Linked DNA regions of Canis lupus familiaris. The main gene of each other region encodes a partner of the protein of the gene in region 5 in a complex. Links are inferred from orthologs where the notes say so. Each region holds a gene or a part of one and is shown on either strand. Other genes may lie near its edges. The genes, in order: EXOSC8, EXOSC7, EXOSC6, EXOSC2, EXOSC3, EXOSC1 and EXOSC4.

What was found.
Region 1: EXOSC3 (region 5) and EXOSC8 share a complex: the UniProt entries of both Homo sapiens proteins name them as parts of the RNA exosome core complex. The link is inferred for Canis lupus familiaris from reciprocal best matches to the Homo sapiens genes EXOSC3 and EXOSC8.
Region 2: EXOSC3 (region 5) and EXOSC7 share a complex: the UniProt entries of both Homo sapiens proteins name them as parts of the RNA exosome core complex. The link is inferred for Canis lupus familiaris from reciprocal best matches to the Homo sapiens genes EXOSC3 and EXOSC7.
Region 3: EXOSC3 (region 5) and EXOSC6 share a complex: the UniProt entries of both Homo sapiens proteins name them as parts of the RNA exosome core complex. The link is inferred for Canis lupus familiaris from reciprocal best matches to the Homo sapiens genes EXOSC3 and EXOSC6.
Region 4: EXOSC3 (region 5) and EXOSC2 share a complex: the UniProt entries of both Homo sapiens proteins name them as parts of the RNA exosome core complex. The link is inferred for Canis lupus familiaris from reciprocal best matches to the Homo sapiens genes EXOSC3 and EXOSC2.
Region 6: EXOSC3 (region 5) and EXOSC1 share a complex: the UniProt entries of both Homo sapiens proteins name them as parts of the RNA exosome core complex. The link is inferred for Canis lupus familiaris from reciprocal best matches to the Homo sapiens genes EXOSC3 and EXOSC1.
Region 7: EXOSC3 (region 5) and EXOSC4 share a complex: the UniProt entries of both Homo sapiens proteins name them as parts of the RNA exosome core complex. The link is inferred for Canis lupus familiaris from reciprocal best matches to the Homo sapiens genes EXOSC3 and EXOSC4.

The regions. Positions count from the first base shown.
Region 1 is NC_049246.1:3,769,684-3,774,254, forward strand, and holds the start of EXOSC8 (exosome complex component RRP43), read right to left. Parts: upstream 2,975-4,571; coding exon 2,949-2,974; intron 1,917-2,948; exon of another isoform or gene 1,393-1,916; intron 1,255-1,392; coding exon of another isoform or gene 1,182-1,254; exon of another isoform or gene 1,114-1,181; intron 581-1,113; exon of another isoform or gene 127-580; intron 62-126; exon of another isoform or gene 19-61; coding exon of another isoform or gene 2-18; intron 1-1. Other genes in the region: ALG5 (dolichyl-phosphate beta-glucosyltransferase), read left to right, coding at 1,189-1,254, 2,959-3,130, 3,516-3,562. UniProt on the Homo sapiens protein: Non-catalytic component of the RNA exosome complex which has 3'->5' exoribonuclease activity and participates in a multitude of cellular RNA processing and degradation events.
Region 2 is NC_049241.1:43,776,986-43,781,009, reverse strand, and holds part of EXOSC7 (exosome complex component RRP42), read left to right. Parts: intron 1-2,822; coding exon 2,823-2,924; intron 2,925-3,226; coding exon 3,227-3,321; intron 3,322-4,024. UniProt on the Homo sapiens protein: Non-catalytic component of the RNA exosome complex which has 3'->5' exoribonuclease activity and participates in a multitude of cellular RNA processing and degradation events.
Region 3 is NC_049226.1:76,859,206-76,862,747, forward strand, and holds EXOSC6 (exosome complex component MTR3), read right to left. Parts: upstream 2,154-3,542; coding exon 1,335-2,153; 3' UTR 841-1,334; downstream 1-840. UniProt on the Homo sapiens protein: Non-catalytic component of the RNA exosome complex which has 3'->5' exoribonuclease activity and participates in a multitude of cellular RNA processing and degradation events.
Region 4 is NC_049230.1:53,364,543-53,369,031, forward strand, and holds the start of EXOSC2 (exosome complex component RRP4), read right to left. Parts: upstream 2,860-4,489; 5' UTR 2,824-2,859; coding exon 2,702-2,823; intron 1,047-2,701; coding exon 945-1,046; intron 1-944. UniProt on the Homo sapiens protein: Non-catalytic component of the RNA exosome complex which has 3'->5' exoribonuclease activity and participates in a multitude of cellular RNA processing and degradation events.
Region 5 is NC_049232.1:54,409,253-54,413,714, forward strand, and holds the start of EXOSC3 (exosome complex component RRP40), read right to left. Parts: upstream 2,980-4,462; 5' UTR 2,578-2,979; coding exon 2,254-2,577; intron 1,362-2,253; coding exon 1,212-1,361; intron 1-1,211. UniProt on the Homo sapiens protein: Non-catalytic component of the RNA exosome complex which has 3'->5' exoribonuclease activity and participates in a multitude of cellular RNA processing and degradation events.
Region 6 is NC_049249.1:10,916,252-10,920,275, forward strand, and holds part of EXOSC1 (exosome complex component CSL4), read right to left. Parts: intron 2,658-4,024; coding exon 2,569-2,657; intron 626-2,568; coding exon 592-625; coding exon of another isoform or gene 585-591; intron 52-584; coding exon 1-51. UniProt on the Homo sapiens protein: Non-catalytic component of the RNA exosome complex which has 3'->5' exoribonuclease activity and participates in a multitude of cellular RNA processing and degradation events.
Region 7 is NC_049234.1:38,326,068-38,330,312, reverse strand, and holds EXOSC4 (exosome complex component RRP41), read right to left. Parts: upstream 2,849-4,245; 5' UTR 2,626-2,848; coding exon 2,455-2,625; intron 2,395-2,454; exon of another isoform or gene 2,207-2,394; coding exon of another isoform or gene 2,144-2,206; exon of another isoform or gene 1,765-2,143; intron 1,593-1,764; coding exon 1,386-1,592; intron 1,273-1,385; coding exon 913-1,272; 3' UTR 871-912; downstream 1-870. UniProt on the Homo sapiens protein: Non-catalytic component of the RNA exosome complex which has 3'->5' exoribonuclease activity and participates in a multitude of cellular RNA processing and degradation events.

The DNA.
Region 1 (4,571 bases), on a different chromosome or scaffold from region 5:
CTTGAACCCGGCCGCCATCTTCCCGCCCGCGCGCGTGCGCCTGCGCCAGGCGAGGCCGCGCCCCCGGGCCGCGCGCCTACCCCGCCTCCAAACTTTCGACAGACGCGCCTGCGCCCTTCGTCCGCTGCTGCAGAGGCCGAGGGCTGGTGGCCGCGAGGGGGTTCTCGTTCCGCCTCCGCTCGGAGGAGCCCAGCGCGCCTCTAGGCTTCTTGGCCTCGGACGCGTTTTGTCGAATCTGCTATTGGGAAAGAGACGGGTGTGTCTCTTTAGAAAAACGGTATGCTAGCTCAGGAGTTTAAGGGAAAGCCGACCTTATTGCCAGGAATTGAGTGAGTATTAAGTGTGGGGCATTATTCCAGAGCTCCTGCGTCCTTTCCCGCCTCTGTCTCAGGCTGGGCCCTGGGCGTGCCTCACCCCAAGGGAAGGGCTCCCTGGAGCTCCAGTTGCTGAGCAATCACGTAAACTCTGTGCGCGCTGGTGATCGCCCCGCGGTACACTCTGCGGGCCCCCGGAGGGGCTCCTGAGGAGCAGCTTGTGCCGTGGGCTGCGTTTGTTCTCAAAGCCGTCACCTCCCTCCTAGGTAGGTTTGCCAGACGGAATACAGAACATCCAATTAATTTTTAATGTCAGATACACAAGCTAATTTTTCCCCACTATGAGTATACCCCAAATAGTACATGTTATTAGTTGTTACGGGGCGGGGGGCGGGGGCGGCTGGGAGCGAAGAATGTTTTAGAAATAGATAATGGGTGCAGGAAATTGTGAATGTAACCAATACCACCGTATCGTACCCTTAAAATGGTTAAAATGGCAAATTTTATGCTGTCTCCGTTTTTAAAGACTCATGGAATACAATAAAACCTTTTTAATGGGTGGATTGCACGGTGCGTGAGTGCTGTCTTAAGACGGCTGTCGAAAAGCCGCTCACTGCCTACCTGAAATTCCGACTGGGTGGAATCCTGTGTGTGCCTGCGGGTTCTGTCAGCCCTGCGGGGAACCCGGCGCCCGCCTCTGCGCGCGAGCCTGGCCGCCAGGGACGGCGTGTGCGCCGCCTGGCCGCGAGGGGCGCTGTGGGCGGCGGGCGGCGGGCGGGCTCGGCCGCTCTGCCGGCGGGAGGCGGAGCTGCGCGGCGGCGCTTCCGCGTGTGTGTAGGCGCTGGGGAGGGCGCGCGGCAGCCGGGTATGGACGATGATTGCGCTCCTGCTGCAGCTGGCTGTGCTCGGCGTGGCGCTGGCGGCCGCCGCCCTGACGCTGGTGAGCAGAGGGCTGGGGACCGACGCGGGCCTGGGCTCCGTCCTCTCAGAGACTCGGCCGCCACGCAGCCTGTCCTCTGCCCCGCACGCTTCGACGCGTCCCTTTCCCCCCACGCTCTCCCCCGAAACTTGACCAGGATTTCCTCTCCTAGAACTTCACAGCCCCTTTCTTCCCTTCTTTGTCTTTATTTTGGAGCGTTACCTCCCTCTGCGGCCAGGCCCTTGTAACGTTGGTTCCCCGGGGGACGTGCGCCCCCGTCAGCCTCCACCGGCCCCGCCGCCCCCGACCTCTGCCCTGTCAGTCCCGACCTCTCCACCCCTTCCTCCTGCATCTGCAGCCTGTGCAGTTCCGGCTGCACCCGGGAAGGTCTCGAGCCCCCCCAGGAGGTTTGCGCTCCCTGGACTGACCCTCCTGATGCGGGGAAGCAACTAGAAGGTGGTGACAGCTTTGACGAGAGCCATCTGCTAGAGATTGGGGTGAATCAGTGGATCAAGAAGACCCAGGAGGGACACAGTAAGGCCGAGGCACGCAGGCCTGCTGTTACCGTTGTCTGGCAGTCCCTATGACCCGGGATTAAACACCCTAAATTCGCTGCCTCTAAAGGAGGGCACAGTAGAATTGAGACTCGGATTTTCTTTGCCATCACTCTGGAAACAAACATTGTAAGCACTTGCTGATTCATTAGTAATGGTTTGCCAAGTGAGCTTTCTCCCTTATAATTTGGAACGAGCCTGCCATCCAGTTAGTACGTGGAGAGGTTCCAGCTTCCTTGACACCCAGATTAGCCCCCCTGACAGCACTGCTGGGAAGGCCGTTCTTCCGCCTTGCCGGGTTTGCACACTTCACAGTTTAGAAATAACTTATAGAGAAAAAGCAACGTGTCCTGACTTCTTCGGTGATTTGTGTCGGGGTCAGAAAGGAGTCCTCTCTCTCCGTTAGGGGTAGATGGAGATTTCAAGGTTTTCTCAGGTTTTTGGTGGGGGCAGAGTTTTGACAGAATCCTAAATTGACTCTGTTTATTTGATCTATCTGTTTTATAGAATTAAATGGGTGCATTTTGAGGATGAACTGGAAGTATTTGATCCTACCAGCTTGTGATTATAAGAGCTACTATTTAGGGCACCTGGGTGGTTCAGCAGTTGAGCATCTGTCTTGGGCTCAGGTCGTGATCTCGGGGTCCTGGGATCGAGTCCCACATTGGGCTTCCCGCAGGGAGGCAGCTTCTCCCTCTGCTTATGTCTCTCTGCCTTTCTCTTTGTCTCATGAATAAATGAAAATAAAATAATTTTTTAAAAAGCTAACATTTATAGAGGACTTATAATTTGGGGGTATTGTATTCAATGTTTTATGTTGTGCGATCTTTAAAACAATGCTAAATGAATGTTGTCATCATTAGCCAGGGGTTGGAGATTCAGGGCATCTTAAAATGGATTGCACTTCTCTGGTGACTATTCCCTATTAAATCTGGGATGACAGAGGCCTAGGGATGACAGGTGGGAAGACACAGCTCCTAAGGCATTAGTTCCTACCAATGGAAGAAGGACAATTATTAGTTCATAAGTAAGGGATTTGAATTTGGTGTCACCTCCAGACCATTCTTAATGGACTAAAAACTGAGAGTGAACATTTAACAACAACAATAAAAATCACATAAATGATGTAATCTTACATAATATAGTTTCTTGTTAACATACCTACTTTTAGATTTCCTTTGTTGCATTTATAACTGCTACAAAAATGCCACATCTCCATCAACATGAAGAGGAGAAGTTCTTCTTAAATGCCAAAGGACAGAAGGAAACTTTGCCCAGCGTATGGGACTCGCCTACCAAACAGCTCTCCGTTGTTGTGCCTTCATACAATGAAGAAAAACGGTGTAAGCCCAATTTCATTTTTGGGATATGGGGCCATTGGGAAGAAAAGGAAATTTAAAGTATGAACTTTACTATCTTTGTGAGAACATTAGTAGATGTGGGCTCTGATGAGTGCATAGTTGGTAGTTGTAGTTCATGAGAGTGGAAACAAATGCCAGCTATAAAGAATACGGTCAGCATCATGAAGTCATAGGACTGAAGTGTTCTAGAGAGACATTAAGCTAGTTGTGGACAGAAAACAGGCCTTCTAGTTGGGAAGGGCCACTGGAAGAGGTCCGAGAGGGCTCTGTTAGACTATTCAGACTTTTTCCATATGTAAACTGAGTGGGGGCTTGGCAAATCATTTTCGAAAACAATTTTTCAGAGATGTATTTTTTTTTCTTTAAGTGCCTGTAATGATGGATGAAGCTTTGGGCTATCTGGAAAAGAGACAGGTACCATATTTCTCTTTCAATATGATGTCCCTAGTTAAAACTAGACTAAATCACCAATTTAGAGATCCCAGGCTAGATCTGTTGAGAGAGGCAGTGCCAGCCATGCCCAAGCCGTCGAGGTCACCAGGGCCTCCTGTGCTCAGCTTGTCCCCTTCCATCACGGGTTAGCATGCAAGCCCAGCACATGACACGCTACCTCCAGACGCACGCAGGTGGGTGAACCCAGAACAAACGGAAAGCAGAAATTTCTTATGTACCCTCCCAACCACTTTGTATGCTCTTGCCTGATGATATATTTAAAATTAAGTATGTCTGCAGACTGTGTGGCAACACGATGCTGTTTTTACTTTAGTGACTTTTTAAAACATTTATTTGAAAAAGACTTAGAGTGAAATTGTTTTTCTTTATTATTCAGAGGAGTTCCGCTCATTTATTTTCTCTACTTTCCCTGCATAAATAGAAGAAAAATAGTATGTGTCCTTGTTTTGTATCATCAGCTGCTGCTGGAATCTTCTTGGAGAGTTTAAGGAAACAAAATGAGCTTTGTGGCTGGTCCGTTTTTTTTTTTTTTTTTTTTTTTTTTTGGTCTGGCGGGGGTTTTTAAATGAGAAAACAGGCTAAAACTCTAACTCATCCAATATCATAAGTTAGAAATAGTGTGGCCAGATTAGAATTGCACATTCTAACCTCATGGGCTTTTTTTTCTCATACATATTTGTATCCTCTCTCATAAGTGCTCAGCACCACAAGCACCTGGCTACTCCACAGATTCGGTGTGGGTAGGCAGTCAAGGGGGGAGCAAGAGTCGGTGTTTGCCCTCTCCTCCTGTCCCACCACTCTCCTCCTTTTAGTTGTTGGCCTTTTTATTTTATGTGGTTTGCATACTTATTTATATTCATGTTAATATGCATCACACTAAAACAATTGTTATTTAAACTCCTTACAATTTTATCAGAATTCTTGATGCCACTTATGCCAAATTGTGGTGTTTTATTTTTGTTTCTTGCAG
Region 2 (4,024 bases), on a different chromosome or scaffold from region 5:
GAGTAAATGTGTCAACTGTGTAGCATTCCTAGCACAGTATCCCAAGTAAAGTAATTGCACGTTAGAGAGTAGCTGCTATTTGTTTTTGCAAATAATTGTGGCTGTTTTAACTTATAGATCTGTAGAATTAGAAAAGTACCTTTGAGGCCTTCTAATTCAATGTCCATCTTTCAACAAAGGAGGAAACTAGTCTGAGCATTTTGTCCTCGGTCAAGCAGCTAGGTATGGCAGGACCAGGCCTGGAGCCCATGACTAATACTCCTAGTGATTGCTCACGCATATACACCTGACCTGCGACTCAGGCAGGAAGGAGGTCTTTGTAAATGATATTTCTGGGCCCTGTTTTCACATTCCTCACAGGGCACTACTGGGGGATGGGGCATCAGAGATTGACCTAGGAAGAAGCCTTTCCTGTTCTATGGGTGAGTTGTTAAAGAGATAGTTACATAGTTTGGGGATCCTCCAGTGAAGAGAGATCACTTTATGGAGTTGGTCCTTGGAGTTCATTTCCTAGACTTGAAATTCTGTTGCTTTTTAAGTACAGATCTCCCCAGACTCAAGATGGGGACTGCCTCCAGGGAGGGGAAGGCCTGGGGATTGGATGAGCAGCAAAGGGACTTCAAGCTGACCTGTAATGTTTATTTTCTCTGCATTAACAGGAGTTGGGATGGGGAAGAGTAGGAACAGAGAAGGTTGGAGCTGGGCAAATGGTGTGCTTTGCTGGATTTCAGTATCTCAAAATCAAAAGTCAGTCATATATGCAGTGAGCCAGGCAGTTTAAAGATAAATTTGTGACACATAGCTTAGAACAGTGTTTTTAAACATTTTGAGGAGCATTAACCCCTTTGAGAATCTGATGAAGCTGAGTCTTTTTCTGAAAGAAAAAAATGCTTTGAAAAAATGTTTACAAAAAATGAGGAAGATCTCCATGAGCTGATGTGTAGTGATTTCCTGCATATGTATTCTTAAGTGTTTAAAAAAAAAAAAGCAGAAGTAGCAAAGTATAAAACAGTATCTCTAGTATGCTTCTCTTCATGTAAGAAAGAAGCGGGTATAAAAAATATTCACATATCTGCTCGATTATGCAAAGGAAGTACGGGAATGATGAACCAGCAATTAAACAGACTGCCTGGGGTGGCTGGGAAAGAGCTAGAAAGAAGGAGGGCATGTAAATAGGGCTGAGGGAAGAGTGGCCTTTCCCTGAGCACACCTTTTCTGATAACTTTGAGCAAAAGAGTCATGGCGATAAGTCCACGTACCCAAAAAGTAAATAAATGATTAAAAGTAGCCACACTGGAGCACTGAGAGCACTAGAACCTCACAGGGGTGCAGAGGAATAGAAGAGCCAAACTGAAGGTTGGGGAAGACACCAGGAAACAGGGTTCCAGATGGGACTGTAAGGCTAAAGACAAAAGAACTGGACCCAAGTACTGTCCTCCATTAGTAAATTTGTTTCTCAAGATTTCACAAATACATAAATACATTGTGGATAATGAGAGCCAGGTTTCTCCCTTTCTGAGAAAGAAGTTACAAATAGGAGGAGGAAGGTTAGAACCAACTTATCAGTGTGAACACATGGCCTTGTAATAGTTATGTGGATATAATAGGTGTGTAGATATAATTATTACGTGGATGGACATAGAAAGAATTACAGCTGTGTGGGTTAGTGTACATCAGTGTTACCTAGTTCCCTTTGCAGAGAAGTTCTGGAAGCAATGATATCCCAGTGGCAATGAACTTACTTAGCAATCAGATCCTGGATTTTAAAGCACTGTTCTTCAATGAAAGGAATCATGACTCCTCAGAAGAAGGGCTAATCCCAGGGCTGGGGCAGGGAAAAATTCAAGAGGCTGGAACATCTTGTCAGAAGTAAAGATGTTCTCAAAAAAGGTTGCAGGCATGTCAAAAGAATGTAGGAACCAACCCAAAGGAACTCCCAGTGGCCAGATCTGGAACACTTTGAGCAGCAGGATAAATAATGACAGTATTGGATTATAACTACAGCATAAAACAGAGATCTGTGAGTTATATTGGTATAAGTAACTAATGGAAGAAGTAAATAAAAGGGGACAAGGGATACGTAGTATCGTAGACCACTCTGAAATCTATCTTCTGCAGCAGGAGTCGACAAACTTTTCCGTGAAGGGCTAGATAAGATTTGGGGCTTTCAGGTTATAAGATCTGCTTCACAATCATTGAGTGTGAAAGCAGCTAGATTGCCTCAAGGAACAGGCGTGGCTGTGTTCCAGGAAAACATTTCAGAGAAGCAGGTGGCCCTCGGGCCTAAGTGTGCTGTCCCTATTCTAGAGAATGCCTGGCTTAGAAGATAATGGCTAGTTATTTTTGTCTGTCCGCAGAGTGGATTTTGTTGAGTTTAGGGGGCAGGAGGGCTACAGCTGAGACAGTTGTACCCGTAGCTCTGACAATACATACTTCCTGGTGCAATTTTGGCATGGCAGATTTGGAAAGAGGCAGCTTATTTTGTCTCTTGTTCAGATTTTGTCTGTTTTGTGTGCCTTTTCGGTATAGGGGGGATGTAGTACGGACTTTGCCACTTTGCCATGCCTGGGTGGAAGCCCACCTTTGGTCTGTGTCACCAGCTGTGGGACCTCAGATACACTGCTTTACATCTCTGAGTCTTCATTTCCTCCTGTGTAAAATAGTAATGTTGTTCCTAGCTACAAGGATAGAATTTTGGATGATTCACTGAGAACGGGATGCTGTAATGCCTAGTTCTCCTGGGAGAAATGGCATGAATGAGTTTAGTAATCTGTTGGTGGTTTGGTTGTGGTTGTATTACAGTTGTGGTTCTTGCACTTTAGGAAGACCTCCGTGTGGATGGCCGTGGCTGTGAGGACTACCGATGTGTTGAAGTAGAAACTGACGTGGTGTCTAACACCAGTGGGTCGGCCAGAGTCAAACTAGTAAGTACTGTGGCTATAGTTCATGCCCATGGGGAGGATCGGCAGGCCCTAGAGAGCCAGCTGCAGACTCCTCTGGGCTTTGGGAGGCATATTTTTCTAGGGAATCCAAGACCCAAGCCAAACTCTGGGAGGGTGTCTGTCTAGGTCTGAAGGACCCTTTACCTTTTCAAAGGGCCACTTCCCAAGTTCCTATGCGCTGCTCCTAAAATGGTCCCCCAGGGGCATAGTCTGTGAGAGAAGGGAGGTGGTTGGGTATCTAGCTACCTGCCCTGAGTGAGGACCCTTCTTATGTGTCTCTGCAGGGTCACACAGACATCTTGGTGGGAGTGAAAGCAGAAATGGGGACGCCAAAGCTGGAGAAACCAAATGAAGGCTACTTGGAGTTCTTTGTTGACTGGTCAGTACTATGTATATATGTATGTTTGTTTTTTAAGTAGGCTCCACACTGGGTGTGGAGCTCAACATGAGGTTTGAACTCATGACCCTGAGATCAAGACCTGAGCTGAGACCAGAGTTGGACACTTTTTTTTTTCCATTTGCAACTATTTACTTCTGAAACACATTATGATAGTCACCATTAATTAATTGCCTACCACATAGCAGGCAATGTGATGAATGTTTTACATACATTATCTTTAATAAGAGTTGGACACTTAACTGACTGAGCCACCCCGGTGCCCCTATGCATATGCTTTTAAAGAAAAATGATTTATTTTATTTTTTAAAAAGATTTTTTTTTGTTATTTGAGAGAGGGAGAGAACACAAACATGAGCCAGGGGTGGGGAGGGAGAGAGAATCCTCAAGCAGACTCCCCACTGAATGTGGAGCCTGTTACAGAGCCTGAGCTCTGTGGGGAGTCTGCTTGATTTTACCTCATGCAGCTCTGAGATCATGACCTGAGCCGAAATCAAGAGTCAGATGTGTAACCAGCTGAGCCACCAAGGTGCTTCTAAAGAAAAACAATTTGAAAGAAGATTGAGAGACTGGACCTCTTGTTTCCTGTTGAGCCCATTTTTATTTTGTATTCAGTCATCATTCCTGCAGCCAGTAGGTATTTCCTGCATTCCTTCTAGGTGTTGGGCACTGGACTATGTGGAAG
Region 3 (3,542 bases), on a different chromosome or scaffold from region 5:
CTGCATCACAGAAGTTCAGCAGTTCCTACTCAGCCAGGGCACAGAAGAGGGGACCAGGCTTCCCTGCCTTCTTCCAATTCAGACCTGAGCACAAACCCACAGAGCTCATGAGCCACATAGGGAAGATCCTGCTCTTGTGGTCACTCAGGCCAGTTCTCCATATGGAATGATGGCCAGGCCACATCTGACTTCCCAACAACCAGCAGCTCTTACTCCTGGAAGTTCATCTGCCCTTTCCCAGGAGGCAAGACTGGACCAGGGGCACCAAATAATAAAGCCAACCTGGTGCAGCACCTGGGCTCAGTCGGTTAGGCATCAGATTCTGATTTTGGCTCAGGTCATGATCTCAGGATCATGAGATCAAGCCCAGCATCAGGCTCTGCGCTCAACATGGAGTCTGTGTGGAATTTTCTCTCTTCTTCCCCACTGTCAACCCCCTTGCATGCCTCTAAATTAAAAAAAAAAAAAAAAAAAAGGCAGCCTGGACCCCTACTTCTTAGCAGCAGTGGGGGAGGCCTCTAGCTTCCACCCAGAGCCAAACCCCTTCCACCTACCCAAACCTGAGCTGTGGTCTTGCCCAGCACCAAACCAGAGGCCACAGAGTACACCCAGAGTGCTCCTGGGCCCACACAACCTTCCCTACTGTTGTCACCTTGGCAATGGCCAACTCTGCTACTCTAGGGGCACCTTCACCTCCTTCAAAGCACATTTCCCCACACCAACTCCTGCACCTCCTTTAGTTTCAGCCAGTCTTTTCTGCTTATGTTGGTCTAAGGAACAGGACACATTTAAGACAATGCTGTCCCCAACCCCTTGACACCAGGAGTCGACTACAGGGCACAAAAGAACCTTGTTCTTTTAAATTCACTACCGAGATGAACCACGATAGACTTTTCCAGATATAAAGGAGTTTGTTTTAGCTCAGATGTAAATGAGAAGGCACAGCCCCCTTGTCCATTCTCTCAAAAGCAGCCCAAGTCTATAGAAGGGAGTCACTAGCTGGCCTGCACAGGGTCCATCCCTTACAACAGTTCCAAGTCCCGTCCTCCAGATGAGTCCAGCTGAAGTCCTTCCCAACCTGGGAGGCAAGCTGCATTCGCAAGTTTCTTCACCTGGGTCGTAGCTGGGAAGCACCTGCTCAAGTAGAAACGTTTCTTTAACAGAAGTCTCTCAAGAGCCGTCCCAACACAGCCGTCCGGCGCTGTGCACGCCCCGTCGGATCCTCTCCCGCCCGGAGTTCTCCGCGCCGCGCAGTCTGGCAGCGGACGGCAAGGGTCCTTCGGGGGACGGGGGCAGCTCGGTCCTCGGCGTCCGTGGTCGCTCGGGCTCCCGGCTCAGGACGGCGCGGCGGCGCCCCTCCGACGGGCCGCCCGCACCAGGCACTGCTGCAGCACGGGGTAGAGGCGCTGGCAGCCCTCCAGGCCCAGACGCACCGCCTCGGCCCAGCTCTCGGGCGGGCCGCCCTCCCCGCTGCCCAGCAGCCCGGCCACCTGGTTGAGCACCGGCATGAGCGCCACGGTGAGGCCGGCGGCGGCGCGCTCCTCCTCGAGGCGCGTGGGGTCCAGCAGCCAGGTGGGCGCGGGTTCCGGCGTGCGGCTCAGGCCGCAGCCCACCACCAGGTCGTACATCTCGACCCCCGCGTCGGCCAGGGCGAGCGCGGCGGCCGTGAGCGCGGCGGCCAGCGCCGAGCCGCCGTCCTCGAGCAGCAGCGCCGACACCTCGAGCTGCGCGCGCGGGTAGCGGCCCAGGCGCACCGCCGGCTCGAGCGCCTCCTGCAGGGCCAGCGCCAGCTCGCGCTCCTCCCCGCCGCCCGGGGGCGCGCGGCGCCGGCGGCCGGCGAAGGGCGCGCGGCGGAAGTCGCAGAGCAGGCGGCCGCGCAGCGCGGCCGGGGCCTCGCCGCCCGCTCCGGCCGGGCCGCCGCCGCGCTCGCTGCCCTCAGCCTGGCGCGGGCCGGACACGGCGCACAGCACCTTGGTGCCGCCCGCCTCCAGGTAGGCCGAGCCCTTGGCTTGGCTCAGGAGCCCGGCGCGCGCGTACACGGGCCGCAGCCGCGTCGGGTCGCGGGCCGCGGGCGCCTCGTCCTCGTCGGCCGCGTACAGCTGCGGCGGCTGCGACTCCTCGGGCCCGCGGATTCGGCGGTGGTCCCCGGGCATGGCGGCGCCTGGCGTGCGAGCCGCTTCCGCCCGTCCCCTCGGCCCCGGCGCCGGCGCTTCCGCCCGCTTAAAGCCGCGCGCCCGCGCGAGGGCTGTCGGGATAGCGGCGGCCGGCGCCGCCCCGCCCCCTGCCGTCCCGGAGGAACCACAGCCGAGCCGCGGGGCCGCCGCGGGGCCGCCGGGAGGTCCCTGGCCGAGGGGGTGGGCCGACGGGGGGACCGGGCCGGCCTGCCTGAACGCTAGCCTCTCGGGCCAGCGCAACCCCAGGGCGCACATCTGCGTCCTTTCACTTGTAAAGGTTGAAATTATTTTGCACTTACACGTGTGACCATCTCCTACGTGTTCCCGTCTTGCCCAAGACATGGTCATTCCTCAGTGCCCTGGCAGGAGTAACGCTTGTTGAATGGAACATTCTCTCTCCTGCACTGGATTGTGTACACTCCGTACCCCTAGGAGTCCTCACCTGGCACGTCTTGCTGAACCATGTCCCCCTGCTGCTTCTCACTCCCGGCGAGGACGGGCCCTCACCCCCAGGCTGGTGACCAGAGCAGGTAGCCTCTGCTGCTGCTCGCCTCCTTCCTTGTCAGCGGGACTAGTTAACCTGGGCCCCACTGCCAACTGTTGTACCCAGGGAACACGAAATCAGCCAGAGCTAGCACAAACAAGCAGAACCTTTAACCTCCCCAGCGAACAGTTTCCAAACCCAGCTGTCTTCAGACTTGAGTGAAGGGATTCGGGACCAGGGCAGGTCCCGATCGATCCTATCCATCTTTGGGTCAGGGAACCAGCAATGATGGGTCAAAGGGAAAGGGGTAGTCACCTAATGCACCCTAAGAACACCTCTGATCTCACACCTGACTGCTCAACATCAAAAAGGAGAGGAAGAGGGACACAGGCCTAAGAATGGGAGAGCTTCTCCTATAAAGTGCTTCCAGTAACCCCATGGCCCATCTTCTATTGAATGACTAATGACTCTCTCCATCTCACCCACTCAACTCCCCATCCTATGGGCCACCTTCACCAATGTCTTCAGGTAATCCAGAGGCCATTCCCAAAGTTCAGGAGTTGAGCTGGACTCGATGAGGACCACAACCAGAAGCCAGTTGGGGCCATAGGCTATTACACAGGGGGCTCCTATGAGAGGTGGGGGGTTAAGAGATCACATAGCATCATTGAGTATTGCACATAGTCCTTTTATTCTCTGCAGCAGAGAGGCCTAAAAGAACTCTTATCTACAGACACGAGCATTGTCATGATAAATAGCAATCCTGGGGTAGTGGTTTTAGACATGGTGCTGGTATGTAGGGAGGGCTCAGGGCAGAAATGTAACGTGAGCAATGAGTCACAGGCTAGCTCCCAGGTGCGTGAGTTCCAGTTACTGCTGGGTTA
Region 4 (4,489 bases), on a different chromosome or scaffold from region 5:
ATGTTCCAGGACACATCTAGCAGCTAATCCCACTGGCTCCACCTTTGAAATATACACAGAAATAAAAGGCATCCAAACTGGGAAAGGAAGAAGTAAAACTATGTCTATTCACACACATGGTCCAATATATGGAAAATCCCAAAGAATACTAAACCCAACACACTTACATGATTTAAAAAAAAAAGGGGGGGGGGGGCAAAACAAAAAAACTCAGAACACAAAATGTATGCAGAATCCGCCATTACTACCCACTTCTACTGCTACCTTAGTCCAAGCCACCATCACTTCAGATGATAAAAACAGTCCATTAATCGTCTCTCTAAGCATGTGTTCCCCCTCAATCTCTCCTAGCAGCCAGAGTGAATTTATTAAGACAGAAATTCAGACCATGTCCCTCTTCTGTTCCACCCTCCCAGTGGCATCCCAGACTACATAAAGTGGAAGTCAAAATGCCTATCTGTGGAAAAAAAAAAAAAAAGAAAGAAAATGCCTATCTGTGCTACAAGGCAGGCTGTCTGCCCACCTCGGCTCTCTACCTGCATCTTCTCCTGCATTCCCCCACCCTTGCTCACAAGGTTCCAAAACCACCGGTTTCCTTTCTGGAGCTAACCTTTATTGAGCCCTTCTAGGTAGTAGGCCCTGAGCTAAGTACTTTACATGTCTTATTTCAATGAATTCTAGTGAAAATCCTACAAGGTAGATCATGCTATTACCCTCAATTTGCAGAGGAGGTAACCAAGGTTTGGAGAGGTCAAGTAATGTGGGGATCCTTGGAAGCCCACACTTAACTACAGTCACCTATACCCTTTCTATATAGTCATGTTCAAAATCACAGACCTGCTAAATGATAAAGCAGGTGGGGGTAAGGGGTATTTTGTGGCAGAAAAGACCTGGCTGGTAACCTGAATGGCGCAAGAAAGAGAATACACACCTTTTGTTCTCACCTGGTTTTCAAAGCTTTCACACATATCAACTTGTTTACCCTCTCCACTGAGCCAGCCACAGATGCAATGAGCTTCTCTTCCCCCATGTAAGTTCCATGGCCCCTGTTTTGAGAGTAGGATACAAAATATACGATGGTAAGAGTTGACCTCTCCCCCCAAGAATAATATATTCTTTTTTTTTTTTTTTAAGATTTTATTTATTTATTCATGAGAGACAATGAGAGGCAGAGACACAGGCAGAGGGAGGAGCAGGCTCCCCATGGGGAGCCCAATGTGGCACTCGATCCCAGGACCCGGGACCATGACCTAAGCCAAAGGCAGATGCTCAACTGCTGAGCCACCCAGGCGTCCCCAAGAACAATATGTTCTTAACAGGCTCCTCCTGCCTTTAAAGCCCGGTTTGTCTCTCTGCCCAGAACACTCCTTCTTTAAAGAGCTGCACAGACATCTCCCTTGTCCTACTCAAGTCTACTGAAATGTCACTTTCTCTATCTGGCCTATCTGACTTTTTTAAGTCATTTACAATAGTTACCCACCCCACTGCCACCACCTCCACAATATTTCCAACCACATTCCACCTACCCTGCTCAACTTTCCATTTTCCCCACTGAATTTATCACCAAACATACTAACTTGTTTGTCCTGCTTACTGTTTATCTGTTTCGAAATATAAATAACATGAGAGAGTTCTACTTTGGTCACAGTCCTGCTCCAACTGCACATAAGACAAACATATACTTCATTCATGAATGAAGGACACTTAAGATTCCTTAGGATCCAATAACCTCAAACTAAAAGGTTCAAGAGCAATGTTGTAAATGCTGTAACACCCCTCCCCCCACCCAAAGGCTGAAATACCACTAGTGTTTACCTATAATGGTGAGTTCTGCTTCTTTGTTTTTTTTTTTTTTTTTGCTTCTTTGTTTTTAAGAGAAAGAAAAAGGAGGGGCAGAGATGGAGAGAGAATCTCAAGCGTGGGGGGGGGGGGGACGGGGAGGGGGCGCAGAGGCTCCATCTCAGGACGCTGAGATCACACCTGAGCCAAAATCAAGAGTCAGACACTTAACCGACTGAGACGCTTCTTTTCTTAAATTATTTCCTCATGTAATCCTCACTTTCTTATCAAATAGTCACTGTTATTATCACAGTGATAATACATTATGAGGAAACTGACCTCGGAGAGGAAATACAACTTAGCTTATAAATATGTGACGGTACAGGGCTGGAACCCCAATTGTCTGGCTCAAGAGCCTGCACTCTCAACTACACATATTGTACTGCCTTCAGGTTCAACGTGTAGATTTGGGTGCATGTAGCACAATATATTGTGTATGCCCTACGCCCAAACAATTACTGCTTTCAAAACCGAGCACCTGGCTAACAGATGCCGAGAGAAGAGGCCGGGTCAGGAATGCCCACTGGTCCCTCTTCCTAACACTGGAAAGAGGCCCCTGCTCCTAACCTTCCCCAGTTCTGCAGATTTCCCACGAAGAAGGCGATCGGGGCCTCAAGCAGAGAACCCAGGAGTCCCTGACACCAGTGGTCGGGACAGAAGGGTTACCAAGGACTGAGGCAAACGGAGACGGAGACACACAAGGTGCGCAGAGTAAGAAGCCCGAGGCCTTGCAAACATGGGGGCGGGAATGCTCAACTGTGCCCTGCGTCCGGCGGGTGCTCAGATGTAAGGGAACAGAGGCCACGTGCAGAGAGCCCAGCAGCTGCCCTTTGGGGCCGCGAGTCCCCAAGTCCTCACGTACCGCATGAATCCCGTGTCCGTGGTGATCGTGTCCCCCGGAACCACCAGATGTTTCTTGGTATCGCGGCCCACGCTCTCGCTAAGAGGCTTGCGAGCAACGGGAAGCCTCATCTCCATCGCCATCTTGGCGCCAAAGAATGGCGCAGGCGCAGTTCGGCCTGGAATCGCGACATCCGGCTCCGCAATTCCCGGCCGTCGCACGGGTCTCAGAGCGGCCGCCAATGGGAACGCACAGTTCGGTGGCCATGTTTACTCTTGGCAACCATTAGGTTAACACGAAGGGAATGAGGGAGCCAAGTTGCCATTTTTACTATTGGCAAGGCTCCACCTACAGATCCATGAAATATCAGGTTTCGGAGCGTTCGATTTTTTTTCACCAAAAATCTCTCCGTAATCATCATCCTATTCATTGTTTACCAGGGTTAGAGGTAATTGAGAAATGGGCCTGTGAGTTACCTTCCAACTCTAAGTTGCTAAAATGTGATTCTTCGGTATGAGAGAGCTCGGGAGACTGGGGATGGCATCTACAGAAAACACTCATTGGGAAAAAAAAAAAAAAAAGAGGTCCTTTTCATACTGTTCCTCGTAGCCCCAATATACTGCATTACTGCCTCCTCGTGGGTGCTCCTTCAGCACCAACCATCCACCTCTACCCCCAAACAGTACTCCAGATGCTGGTTCTGTTCTTAATAACTTCTTTTGAATGAGCTGATTTACTCTGACTTAAAAAGAAACCCGCCCAAGAAAATATACAAAGCTTGCAAGGCGGGTGTATTTTATAGGGTGAATACGTGGCTTTATCTCCGTGTCCTGTTCAATAGGAGCATTTGCCTCCTCCCTTCTCCCTGCCTCCCACTACCCTATCCCTTCTCCTTGTCCTACATGGTTCATAGCATCCACAACAAACTGCGTTTCGACCTCAGGGAATTGGAGCTGATGATTCTTTATGCACAAAGACCCTTAAGAGGATTAAATAACTTGCATCAGCCACACACACTATGCTCAGTAAATCAGGTCCACTGCCTCCTGAAGATCCATCAGACCAGTTGCTTGATTAGTCTCCAAATAGAGAACATTTCTTTATTTTTTTAAAGATTTTATTTCTTTATTCATGACAGATACAGAGAAAGAGAGAGAGAGGCAGAGACAGAGGCAGAGGGAGAAGCAGGCTCCATTCAGGGAGCCTGATGTGGGACTCGATCCCAGGTCTCCAGGATCACGCCCTGGGCTGAAGGCGGCACCAAACCGCTGAGCTACCTGGGCTACCCCAACATTTCTTTCTAAGCAAAGCTCCCAACTATGCCTGTCAATCCTGCAAGGCAGTAAACGATATAAATTCTGGAGCCCCATGGGGCATGCACATACCAGACGCTTGCCTGGAGGAAGAGAGCTACAGAAGGGTGAGAAGATCCATCTGTTGAGTCTGGCCTCCGCCATAAGAGGGCAGTAGTGTCCTGTGAGCCAAGGTAACCCAGCCCGCTAGGGAGCTAGGCCTGGGAGTGTCCCTAGACTAAGAGTAGGGTACTCTTGACATCATCCACTTTCATCCCAAGAGAGATGGACATAACCTCAGCCCCTCCCATCCTCACAGCACCCACATTTAGGGGGCCTGTCACAGCATTGGGATTATGAATACTGTCTACTATAGAGTGGCTGATTCAGTGTCTGTCAAGAGCTGGCTTTCTGCTTCACAGACAACTGACTTCTCGCTGTTTCCTCATATGGCCCAGAAAGGGTGGAGAGTCTCCAGCGTATCTTTTATAAGGCACTAATTCCTTTTACAAGGGCT
Region 5 (4,462 bases):
GTTGGTGACTGGCAACTAAAGAGAAATAAAAATATTCTTTGTATTTTAGAAGCATTTGGTCGTGGAGGGCAGTGAGGATGTACATATAAATAACAAAGTTCATTTAAGACTTTTTAGGTGCTAAAGTTATAAGAAAGGTGACTGTTGATGAGGGATGGTGTTACCGAGGTGGTGGTGGTTAGCCTGGTTCTCAAAAGATGAGATGTTCCATAAGCTAAGGGGACAGAGCAATCCAGATAAAGGGAACAGCACAAGCAAAGGTACAAGAGCAGGGACTTATGAATTCAGTAGTGCTATTAAATAGTTTGAGATAGGGGGACCTGGGTGGCTCAGTGGTTGAGCATCTGCCTTTGGCTCCAGTAGTGATCCCAGGGTCCTGGGATCGAGCCCTGCTGATGCAGGTTCCCCACAAGGAGCCTGCTTCTCCCTCTGCCTAGCTCTGTGCCTCTCTCTGTATCTCTCATGAATAAATAAATAAAATCTTTAGTTAATAAATAAATAGTTTGAGATAGTTCAAGCATAGATACAATTATAGACAAGAAAGGACCTCTGGAGTATAATGCCAATGAAATCTATAGGCTTCAAAGAAACTTTTTTTTTTTCCTCTTTTGGAGAAAGGAGAGTGTGTGAGGCTGTTGGCTTTTGAGAGGGCAAGTGTAGAGGCAGGGATGTTAATGAGGAGGTCACTGACCAAGTCTGGTAAAAAAAATAGCTAAGGTCTGAACTTGCAATATGGAGACATACAGGGATGAACATGCAAAATATCAGAGACAGAATCAAAGCTGTTGGGAAATGGTGATGTGACTGAAGTTGTGAGATGCCAGTCAATCAGGATGGATAGATGGCTGATATGGCAATTTGCACCATCTACTCCTCCTTCTTCCCCAGCTTATGGTTTACTTCCTTGTCCAGTGGATATGGACATAACAAAAAACAATAGAAAGAACAAATATAACCTTTCAACTCAGTAGAGATGAAACAGCCCCCAATATAGCAAATGTAAAATAAGTATGTGACTCTGGTTAGAGCTGGAGCACTGGAAGGAACTCTTGGACCCCAAAGTGATTACACAGACGCTCAGAGATGACCCCATAGAGCTAGGAAAATAGGTCATGCTTAGGAGACAATTTAGGTAGCCTTTTGGTTATTTGAGTGTTTCTGGATATTCGTATGCTTTTCTTCTTTTTGAAACCAAAAGTTCCCATCATTACCTGCACATTTGGTCTGTTTCTTTTAGTTGCACCTTCAAATGCCAAGTAAGACAAAGAAGCTGGCTCACTCCCTCCAACATCAACTTTGAAAATATCTCCAGACTTAGCTGTCACTATGCCGATCACATGGTCTCCTTTCACGGGGACATACTACAGAAGAAAACAGAATGAAAGAACAGTCATAGATGACAATCATTTCCAAGGTATCTTGGAAGATATCTTTAATAAGTCCTTAGTGGTCATTAGAGTTATTTAAAAAATATTTTGAAATTCAAGTTTACAAATTAATACAAATCAACAACAAATGTGATGTTACTCTCAGTAAAAGAAAAAAAAAATCACACCATAAACTCTCAGGTTTACAGCTTTTAATACTCTGTTCATTTGAGCCAGTATCCCACACCTCTTATTTCCTTATCAGAACTTCCTAGAGCAGGAATCCCTGGATGGCTCAGCGGTTTGGCTCCGGCCTTCCGCCCAGGGCCTGATCCTGGAGTCCTGGGATCGACTCCCACATCCGGCTCCCTGCATGGAGCCTGCTTCTTCATCTGCCTGTGTCTCTGCCTCTCATGAATAAATAAGTAAAATCTTAAAAAACAAAACAAAAAAACTTCCTAGAGCTTCTGCTGGCATATGAAGTCCAATGGTACAGGGGACGGGGTCCTTACAACCAAGAAAGGCTATTTCATTGCTAGACAAACTTTCCCATATTAAAGTTCTTACCTACTCTAAGAGAAATTTAACTCCCTGTTACATCCTCTTATTGAGCCTGGTTCTGGTGCTCCCTGACCTTTGAGACTCTGTAGGCAATGACCCTGTCTCACAATCCCTATCCTCTTAGACGCCAAGATTTCCAGTCTCCTTTGTCTCCTTCTCGGGCCACGCTCCATTTGCTCACAGTCCCTCTGAGGGGAATGCAGCGGTGCGCACAAGATTACGGTGGCTCTGGACCAGCATTCGCAGAGAAGAGGTCCAGGGCCCCATGCAGAGCGAGAATATCCCCCTCACGGCCGTACCACCTCTCCGGAGTCCCCCAACTCACCCGTTTCTGCTGTGAGTCCACCCAGTAAACGCCACCGCCGCTGCCGCCGCCGGGCTCCTTGTGACGGAGGCGGCCGCACTTGGTGACCAGCAGGCGGTCGCCACAGCGCCGCAGGCCCGGGCCGCACACGACGCGCCCCCGGGAGCGCGTCCCCGCATTCAGGCGCAGCGGTCGCTCCCCAGGACCCCCTGGGCCTTCAGCGTCCTCCTGCTCCGGCAGCAGCAGCTCCTCACCCGGGAGCACCACCTGATCCAGCACGGTGCGCGCCGCACGCGCCCGGTCTCCCGGCAGAGACTCGGCCGCAGCACCCACCGCCTCAGCCATACCGCGAACCTCCACACGCAACCTTCAGCTTCCGCTTCCGGCCCCGCGTCCAATCGCCAGCCTGCCCGAGGCGTTCCGTTTCCGGTAGTAGCGGACTATAGGAACCGAACCATCTGCGTCCCTGAAACCTGAGAGCTGTGGGCGGGGGTCCTGCCAAGGTGGCTGCGGTAATATCTCCCGCCCGTCACCTTTCTTGCGGTCTTTCTGCGGATCAGTACGAGAAACACGCGGCTTAAGTCGATGGCAAATACCTCACTTCCGCTGTTTCGGGCTGCACCGCTGGATACAAGACGCTCCCAAGTGTGGTTCCGTGGGAACCTCGACGACCGAGCCGAGGGGCTTCGGGATTGATCCTTTCCTTCCAAGACTCAGCCCTCTGAAGGAAAAGCATTTTCCTTTTTCTAAATAAAACCTGTTTTTATGGTTGCTAGAGAAGATATCAATTCACACTGTGGAAAACAGAGACTAGAAAGAAAATAAGAGGTATTAGTCTTGCCCCCATTTGTCTCCTGCTAGGCCGCCAGATAATTCTGTGTCGCCCAGTCTCTGTCACCTAAATAGATAGGACCTGATGAATCAGTGCATATTGGCATTTTAGTGTGTATTTCTCCGCAGACCTTTTCCCCCTGAAAATATACACATACGCATGTGAATTTTCACATAATTCACCTACCCCTACATGGCCTGGGGAAATCAGTAACTGCAATCAGATTCTTGTAGCTACATTCCTTGAGACACACTAGTTGACCAGGTGAGCAGTTGGATTCCAAATCCATAGAATATCAGGACTGCTCTTACTTGAAATCCAGGTTCCTCTGTACACCAGGATTTCCACTTTGCGGTTGGTCAAATTCCCCAGCAGGGTTGAGAGCTCCGGGGGACTGGGAGGGTTTGGCTTTGCCTTTCCCTTTGAGGCACTGGCTTCCAACGTGAATTTTTAGTTTTGGGGGACGTTTAAGACAGATCACCTCTAACTTACCTTCCATATTTGGCAAAGTGCTGGCAAGCTGACTGCGTAAGCGTATTAAGAGGCCAACTGAAACGTAACTTTTCTTGTTTTGCAGTCAGAGTGTTGTAGAAGCCTATCTTGATTGGTTTATCCTGGCAGGAGGGATGGTGCAGATTTTTTTCCCTCCTCCCACTCCAACCCAGCACTAGAGGACCTGCAACCAGTAGGTATTCGATGACCAAGGCCGCCTAGATGGTGGCTGGCCCAAGGCCATGCCCAAAGGGAGCTCAATGGCCTCTGGTCTGGGCTGGACAGAGAGGTTGGGAGTGGTCCCAGGATTGGTCCCTCCCGCACCCCATGCTGATCGAGAAGTCTTTGGAAAAAATACTTGGCCCAAACCTGGCTAAAGAGGCCTTCAAAGTCCACCACCCGATAGGGGTGGCACGTGGGTACCTCCTGACTGGTTCTCTAGTCAAGAGACGAAACCCCCCCCCCCCAAAAAAGAGACGAAACCCCAAGCTCCAGGGGTGGGCAGTCTCCTAAAAATCCGCAGCTGGGGTCGGAAGTGGCCGGCTGTGGCTCTGGGGGCGTGGGTTCCTCCTGACACGCCCCCCGGGGCGGGTCCAGGGGCGGGGCGCGCGGGAAGGTCGCCTTTGGTGTCTCTCCCCCTCCCCCACCCCCACCCCGCCAGCCGCGTGCGGCCCTTTCCGTGCATCTGTGCTTCGCGGCTTTGGTGCCCTGCGGCCGCGGGTGAGTGAAAGCGCACGGTGCGGGCTGGGGATGGAGGAGGTGCGCCAGCGTGCGGGTGGGTGGGGAGCCGAGGCCTCCAGCGGGTGTGCAGAGCCCGGCTCCCAGCCGCAGCCACCGACTTCTGCGACGTGCGGGTCCCGCGTTGGGGTCCGATGGAGTCCCGGTGACGAAGCTGGCGTTTCCAGA
Region 6 (4,024 bases), on a different chromosome or scaffold from region 5:
CACTTTGGCCAAGACAATGTCACCAGGGCGGAAACTCTTATAAATCTCAACCTGTAAAGAAAGAACAGGAATGTTAAGTGAAAGCTCTAAATCAAATCTACATGAAACTATTTGCCCCTCTGGTAGAACCAGTGTACTTTTTAACTCCACAGGGTGGAAGTCATCGTTAGTGAAGCCAATCAACAACTTTTATTGCTTTTACATCATATAAATGAAAGATTTTTATTTTTTATTTTTTTAAATGAAAAATTTTTAATTCAATAACCTGGTAACGGATCTTAGATAAAAGTTACTACAGTTGGCTCTGAAAGAATACAAAGTAAATCTGAGGGAATAGCAAAGAATAGACACCTGGCTTCAAAGGCAAGGAATAAAGTAGTCCCCTTCTGCTCAATAGAGCAAACAAAAAATCCTAAGGAAAGGAAAAGGACAGTGAGGTGAATTCCACACTTTCCAGTAGGAAACACCTTAAAATTCCTTGGACCTTTGGATCCACATTCCCACAGATGTTTGAAATTCCCTGGAGTAATTTAAAAGGATCGAGATTCCTAAAGTCATAAGGGGAAAAAAAAAAAAGAACCAACCAACAACCTTGTCTTTTTCAGTAGCTCGGACATCTTCCTTGCTATAAAAAAGAATTAACAAAAGATTAATTATCTGTGAGAATTATCCTGCAGAATCATAGCAGACAGAGAGCTACAAGAATAGAGAGAACAAATCATAATTGGGACCCAAAGGCCACCCAGAAGTGGGGTGGAGAAGCATTCCAAGTCCTCCCCTGGAGGAGAAAACCACATTCCCATTCTTGGGTCACACAGAGCAGCAGTATCAATACCTTTGACTAGAGAAAAGCAGATCAGATTTGGCAGGAAAGAATAAGGAACTTTGCTGCCTTAGGAAAGCTTGTACAGAAGCACTACAGAACCAACATGGAATCCTAAGGGTGGAAAGAGCCTTAGAAGCTATATCTAGCTCACAAGAATTGTTGGTCTCTACTTTAAAAACCTACAGGAAAAAACAAACAAAACCCTACCATTCCACTCACCTTTTTAAAAATATATTTTATTTTTTTAAGATTTATTTATTTTACAGAGAGAGAGAAAGAGTGCATATGCCATGAGTGGGGGGGGGGAGCGTGCACCCTATTTTACAGAGGGAGAGAATCTCAAGCAGACCCCTCACTGACTGCAGAGCCAGACACGAGGCTTGATCTGACGACAGCTTATGAGATCACGATCTGAGTTGAGATCACAAGTCGGTCGCTCAACCAACTGAGCCACTCAGGCACCTCTAAGATTCTATTTTTAAGTAATCTCTATGCCCAACATGGGGCCTGAACTCAAAACACCGAGATCAAGACTTACATGCTTTACTGACTGAGCCAGACAGGTGCCCCTCACCCACTAACCTTTTTTTTTTTTTTTTTTTAAGATTTTATTTATTTATTCATTCATAGAGACAGAGAGAGAGAGAGGCAGAGACTCAGTCAGAGGGAGAAGCAGGCTCCATGCAGAGAGCCTGACGTGGGACTTGATCCAGGGTCTCCAGGATCACGCCCTGGGCTGCAGGCGGCGCTAAACCGCTGCGCCACCGGGGCTGCCCACCCACTAACCTTTTTACCTTTTTAAAGTCTTTCGGGGGATCCCTGGGTGGCGCAGCGGTTTGGTGCCTGCCTTTGGCCCAGGGCGCGATCCTGGAGACCCGGGATCGAATCCCACGTCAGGCTCCCGGTGCATGGAGCCTGCTTCTCCCTCTGCCTATGTCTCTGCCTCTCTCTCTCTCTGTGTGACTATCATAAATAAATAAAAATTAAAAAAATAAAAAAAAATAAAAATAAAGTCTTTCGGGATCCCTGGGTGGCGCAGCGGTTTGGCGCCTGCCTTTGGCCCAGGGCGCGATCCTGGAGACCCGGGATCGAGTCCCACGTCGGGCTCCCGGTGCATGGAGCCTGCTTCTCTCTCTGCCTATGTCTCTGCCTCTCTCTCTCTCTCTCTCTCCGCCCCCCATCATAAATAAATAAAATTAAAAAAAAAAAATAAAGTCTTTCAATCCTTAGATTTAAACTATATTAAATACAAAAAAGGAAGATATTTCTTAAGATGCCTTTAACTTTTTTTTTTTTTAAAGATTTTATTTATTCATGAGAGATACAGAAAGAGGCAGAGACATTGGCAGAGGGAGCAGCAGACTCCCTGCAGGGAGCCCGGTGCAGGACTCAATCCCAGGACCCCGGGATCACGACCCGAGCCAAAGGCAGACACTCAACCACTGAGCTACCCAGGTGCCCCTAATTTGTTCCATATGAACTTCCTGCAACACTAGTTTCCAGCTTAGCTCAATTCTTTTCATTTTATTTTAAAGCCCAATCTTGTCAATATTTTCCTTTTGTCCTAGCTCATACATTATAACATTTCCTTTGGACACTACCTGGACAGAATCAAAGAACAAAGAGGAGAGAGAGGCAGGTAGATATAGGAACTGTAATTGTTCCTAAAAATTTCAATCCCTGTTCTATTCTAATCTCATTCCAGGTGCTGATGCAAATGCAAAAACATGAATACTTCTTACCGGATAGTTCCTCGAAAAGAGTTCTTAAGTGGTGTGGACCCCACATATAGGATGTGCACTTTGGCAAAGCGTGAATTGATGCTAGAGACCTGTGGAACAGAAAAAAGATCAGCATTAGAGTAGTAGCAGTTGTCAGTTCAAGGAGGCAGCAAGAAAGGAATTACCAGTGTTTTAGTCCAAGCAATCCTACTAATTATAGAATTTAAGACAAGTTAACTCCTACTTAATTCTGCATAAATGATATATGTCAAATGGAATGAGAGTCTCTCCAGCCACCTAATAAAGTTACTGTGGGCATCCAATGAAATAATATGGAATATATCTTGAAAAATACAGAAGCCTAACAAATAAAAACAGGGCATTACCGTAAATCTAGACCTTTAACTGATCTTACCAAGAGCCCGGTACAGTGCACAGAAAAATTTTTTTAAATGTTTATATTTCTTTTTTTTTTAATTTTTTATTTATTTATGACAGTCACACACAGAGAGAGAGAGAGAGAGAGAGGCAGAGACACAGGCAGAGGGAGAAGCAGGCTCCATGCACCGGGAGCCCGACGTGGGATTTGATCCTGGGGTCTCCAGGATCGCGCCCTGGGCCAAAGGCAGGCACCAAACCGCTGCACCACCCAGGGATCCCCAGTGGACAGAATTTAAGTGTACATTTCAGTTACTGTGTAATATTTGGATCACTGCCTCTTCAGTTATTTTAAGAATAACACATTGATTTTCTGCTGGAACAATTTATAAACAGCAACTAAGAACTCAAGTTGATTTAACTTAACATGGGGGTGGGCAGAGAGTAAGGATGTCTTGTAGTTACTGATCAGTATAGCATTAATTTGTATTTCCCCTGAAACACCCCAAATGATGAAATTTATTTTTAAAAAAGATTTTATTGGGATCCCTGGGTGGTGCAGCGGTTAAGCGCCTGCCTTTGGCCCAGGGCGCAATCCTGGAGACCCGGGATCGAATCCCACGTCGGGCTCCCGGTGCATGGAGCCTGCTTCTCTCTCTGCCTCTCTCTCTCTCTGTGACTATCATAAATAAATAAAAATTTAAAAAAAATAAAAATAAAAATAAATAAAAAAGATTTTATTTATTTATTTGAGAGAAAGAAAGAGACACAGCATGAGTGGAGAGAAGGGGCAGAGGGAGACAGAAAAGCAGACTCCCTGCTGAGCAGGGAGCCTGATGCAGGGCTGGATCCTAGGATCACCACCTGAGCCGAAGGCAGACATTTAACTGACTGGACCACCCAGGTGCCCTAAAAGATGAAATTTAATAGGTCTTTATAAGGTCTTTTGCTTCTCTCCAGACTAAAATAGCTTCTAAATGTTAAAAATAGGCTTCCTTATTATTATTACCCTTTGGCACCTGTTTCCCAAACTGCATACTCAGGGAATCAGCTCAGTGAAAGAGCTACGCATGCTTGAACTTGGCTGCCTTGATCACTA
Region 7 (4,245 bases), on a different chromosome or scaffold from region 5:
GCGCGGCGCTCCCGTCCCGCCGAGGCGGCGCGCCCGCCCGCACTTCCGGTCCCGAAGGCCCTCACGCCGCCGCGCATGCCCGGAGCAGGGGGCGGGGCTGGAGGCGGGGCGCGGGGCCGGGGCCGCCGGGCTGCCTGTGGACCGCGGCTAGGAAGCTCCCACGTACAGGATCAGAGACTGGAAGGCTGGGGCCGGCGGAGGACCGGGAAGCACGGACACAGGGGCGCCGGCAGGCTCATTTCTACGGAGGTCAGACCGGCAGTGAGCGCACAAGGGAGCTCAGCGGGAGCCCAGCGCCGAGGGAACCGGGGTCAGATGACCACAGGGAGGAAGGTGCACAGGCTACTCTCGGCCAGAACGGGTCTCAAGACCTGGGGTATGTGGACTAGAAAGTGGGGAATCCTATTCAGATCAGGAGGTGCCCGGGTGAGGGCTCAGGCAGCGCCGCAGATATGTGTGAAGACTCCCCACCCCTCCGCACCACCCCAGGGGAGAACATTTGTTGTGCTTTCCGAGCCTAAGGCTAGGGAGGCCCAAAGGGCTCCCAGGGTGGAGGGGGCCATGCAGTCCAAGCCATAGTCCAGAGGATGTGGGCTGTGGATGTGCTGGTCTGAGAACTGCCTTCGTCTCACAGCTTGGCTCGTTATGCCAGGCCCTGCCTCACTGCTCAGCTGCCTGAACCTTTCCTAGCACGATGGCTGTTCATCCGCAGACAGGCTCCCCGACCTTCCTCTTCAGGGTTTGGGTCTTGAAGCTGGAAAAGGTATGTCATGTGCGGGGGATGGGGACGGTTCCTAGTCACCTCCCAGAGCAAGCACCAGGCCAGGATCTGAGGGTGTGCAAGTGCTGTGGGGAAATTAAAGTATAGCAGATTGTATGTGAGTTTTATTCTGGGCATGGGGGGCCAGATGCTCAGTCCCCCAGCAAAATAGAGGCCTCGCGTACATGCTGCCGAACCACACGGTCCAGCACAGTGTGCACATCACGGGCAGCCCGGGCAGCCGCCTCTAGCACCTGTTCCAGGTGGTCCTCATGTAGCCGAGCATCCATTTCAAGCAGTGCAATCTGGCCTGAGGCCGGCAGCAAGGCCAGGGCCAGCTGGGGGCCACCAGCTGCCTCTTCCACATGGCTGAGGTCCGCCAGGGCTGTGTTGTCCACAAAGCCAGCTGAGCAGGCACACACAAAGTCCCGCATGGGTATTCCCGCATCCAGCACTGCCAGCGTGGCTGCATTCACACAAGCTGCGTAGGTCCCACCATCTGCCTGCAGCACCTGCAAGTACCGCCCAGTGGCATCGGTCCATTAGGCTCTTGTCCCCCGACTCCCATCCTTGCTTCCCCTTCCTTCCCCCTCCCTTCCTGGGTTGATGGCTGCTGCTTGCTCACCTGCACATATATATCTATCTGGGAACGTGGGTGCAGCTGTGTTAGGATGGCTGCCTCAAATGTCTGACGTAGGTGCAGGCCCATCTCGCAAGACTTTCGGTCCCCATGCGGTCGTCGCTTGCGTTCGCCTGTGCTGAAGGTCGCAGAGCTATACTGACAGTTCACCAGGGCCCTGTCTGGCAGGGCTCGAGCCCGGGAGCCCCGGATCTGGGGGAGGAAGGACACATGAGTCAGGCTCACCCCTCCACAGCTGACACTACGCCTTCCCGTCACCCTCCCTCTACTTCCGGCATCTCCATAAGCAAGCAGGAGGACCTCCATCGGAGGGCCAGTTGGCCAGTCTCCAAGTCATCATGTCTGATATTACTTCTCTTAACAGGCCTCCTTGTTTCCATCCCTGCCTCGTCCCCTGCTAACCCATTCTCCATCCGTGGCCAGAGCAGGTGTGTTCACAAATATCCAGGCTCGGGATGCCAGGGTGGCTCAGCAGTTGAGCGTGTCTGCCTTTGGCTCAGGGTGTGACCCCGAGGTCCTGCAGGGAGCCTGCTTCTCCCTCTGCCTGTGTTTCTGCTTCTCTCTATCATGAGTAAATAAATAAAAGCTTAAAAAAAAATATCCCGGTTGATGTCATCTCCTATACACTTTCGCTGCGTCAATGTCCTGACGCCTCCTAAAGCTTCCCCATCACCCGTGAAATCCTAAGTCGTGTCCCTGGCCTACAGCGCGGCGGGTTCCTGCCTCCCTAGAGCCCCCCAAACCTCGTTCCGAGTTGCTCCCCATCTCCGCCGCTGCGAACGCGCCCCGCTACGTGCCCCAGCCATCCTCCCCGCTCCGGCGTGGACGCCAGGCAGTAGCAGCAGGTGGGTTTAGCTACAGTCCCTCCGCTCATGGAGTTGACGCTCCGCTCCCGAGAAGTCGAACGCGGAGCCCACGGGCTTCGGAAAGGCAGGGGAGGGGCTCCCCAGGAGAGGAAGGCGGTCGGGAAGGCGTCCCCGGGAGGACGAGGTCAGGTACCCCCAGCGCCGGGGAACCCAAGCCCCGCCCGCCCCGCCCGCGCGCGCCCACTCGCCTCGTGCGGCCCGTAGACCACCGCCAGCGCCTTGGTGTTGCCTTGCTCGATGTAGGCCGAGCCGTCGGCCTGCGCGAACACGCCCATCCGCGCCTGGATCTTGCGCAGCTCCCCGGCGCGCCGTCCGTCCACCCGGTAGCCCTGGTCCGACAGGAGCTCCAGGCCCGCCATGTCTCCGGCGGCTGGCCGCGCTTGCGACTCCCGCGAAACTACACTTCCCGACGGCTCCGACCCCACTTCCGGCTTTCTGGGGGCCTACGGCTTCCGGCGGTCCGACACCCACTTCCGGCCCGGGGAACTACGGTTTCCCCGGGGGCAGGCGGCGCCCGCGGCCGTTTGGGGAGCTGTCCCACGGCTGCCAGAGGCGGAGACCGGATGCGGGGAGACTCGCCGGCCGCGCCCCCTCGGGCTTGTCGCAGGGCGGTTCTGACGCCCCCGGGCCTCCCGGGGTCACGCCGCACGCGCCTGCGCCGGGTCTCGGGGGGGGGGGGGGGGGCGGGCTCCGGCCTGCGTCCCGCCCCGCCCCCTGCCCCTCCCCCGCCTGCGCTGCCCGCGCCCCCTGACGCCCTACTCAGCGCCCCGCGCGCCCCCCATCCCTCCCCCCGCACCCTCTAGTGCTCCCGTCTGCTCTTCTCCGCTCACGCTAACCGCAGACGGATCGGGAGCACACGCGGTTGTACAGCCGCGTGGCATTGGGAACTCCGGTTATTTTAATGAGAGCATTTTATACACTTTAATGGTTTTCACTCAAAAAAGACCTTGAGAAATCTGCCCCAATAACCCTGGGGAACGCCCACTAGTTTCCGGTTGGCCGCTCGGCGCCCGCGGAGTGGACGCGCCCAGATGCTCCCCCGCTGCTGCCCGGGTGCGGGGGCGAGGGCGCGCGGGGCCGGGCTAGAACCCCGCGGGATTCCGAGGAGTGGCCGTCGCGGGCGTCCTACCCCGTCCTGACTCGTGTTCCGACACCTCCTGGCGGCCCAGCGCCGTGGAACCGCCCCCGACCAAACCCCCCCCCCCGCCCGCCTCCCCGTCCCCGTCCCCGTCCTCGTCCCGGTCCCCGTCGTCCCCCTACCCCCACTCGGTCCCCGTCCTCGTTCCGGTCCACGTCCCCCGCCCCTCCGTCCCCGTCCCTGTCGCTCCCCTCCCCCCGACCCGTCCCCGTCCCCGTCCCCCCCCACCCCGTCTACGTCCTGTCCCCGTCCCCATCCCAGTCTCCATCCCCTTCCCCGTCCCGGTCCGCCCGGACAGGATGCTCATGCCCCGCACCAGCTGCCTTATTTGGCCGCTCTGCTGAGCCCGGGCTTCAAGGGCGAATGTGGGAAGCGGAGCCAAAGGGCTGAGCGTCGGGGAGGTGCCGCCCGGGGCCTGGGGATGTGCACAGGCTGTGTGCCCCCCCTTTCCCGCCAGCTCCCACTGTGCAATAAAACGGGTGAATCGGGATCCCTGGGTGGCGCAGCGGTTTGGCGCCTGCCTTTGGCTCAGGGCGCGATCCTGGAGACCCGGGATCGAATCCCACGTCGGGCTCCCAGTGCATGGAGCCTGCTTCTCTCTCTGCCTGTGTCTCTGCCTCTCTCTCTCTCTCTCTGTGACTATCGTAAATAAATAAATAAAATTAAAAAAAAAAAAAAAAACGGGTGAATGAAGGGATCCCTGGGTGGCGCAGTGGTTTAGCGCCTGCCTTTGGCCCAGGGCGCGATCCTGGAAACCCGGGATCGAATCCCACGTTGGGCTCCCGGTGCATGGAGCCTGCTTCTCCCTCTACCTGTGTCTCTGCCTATCTCTCTCTCTCTC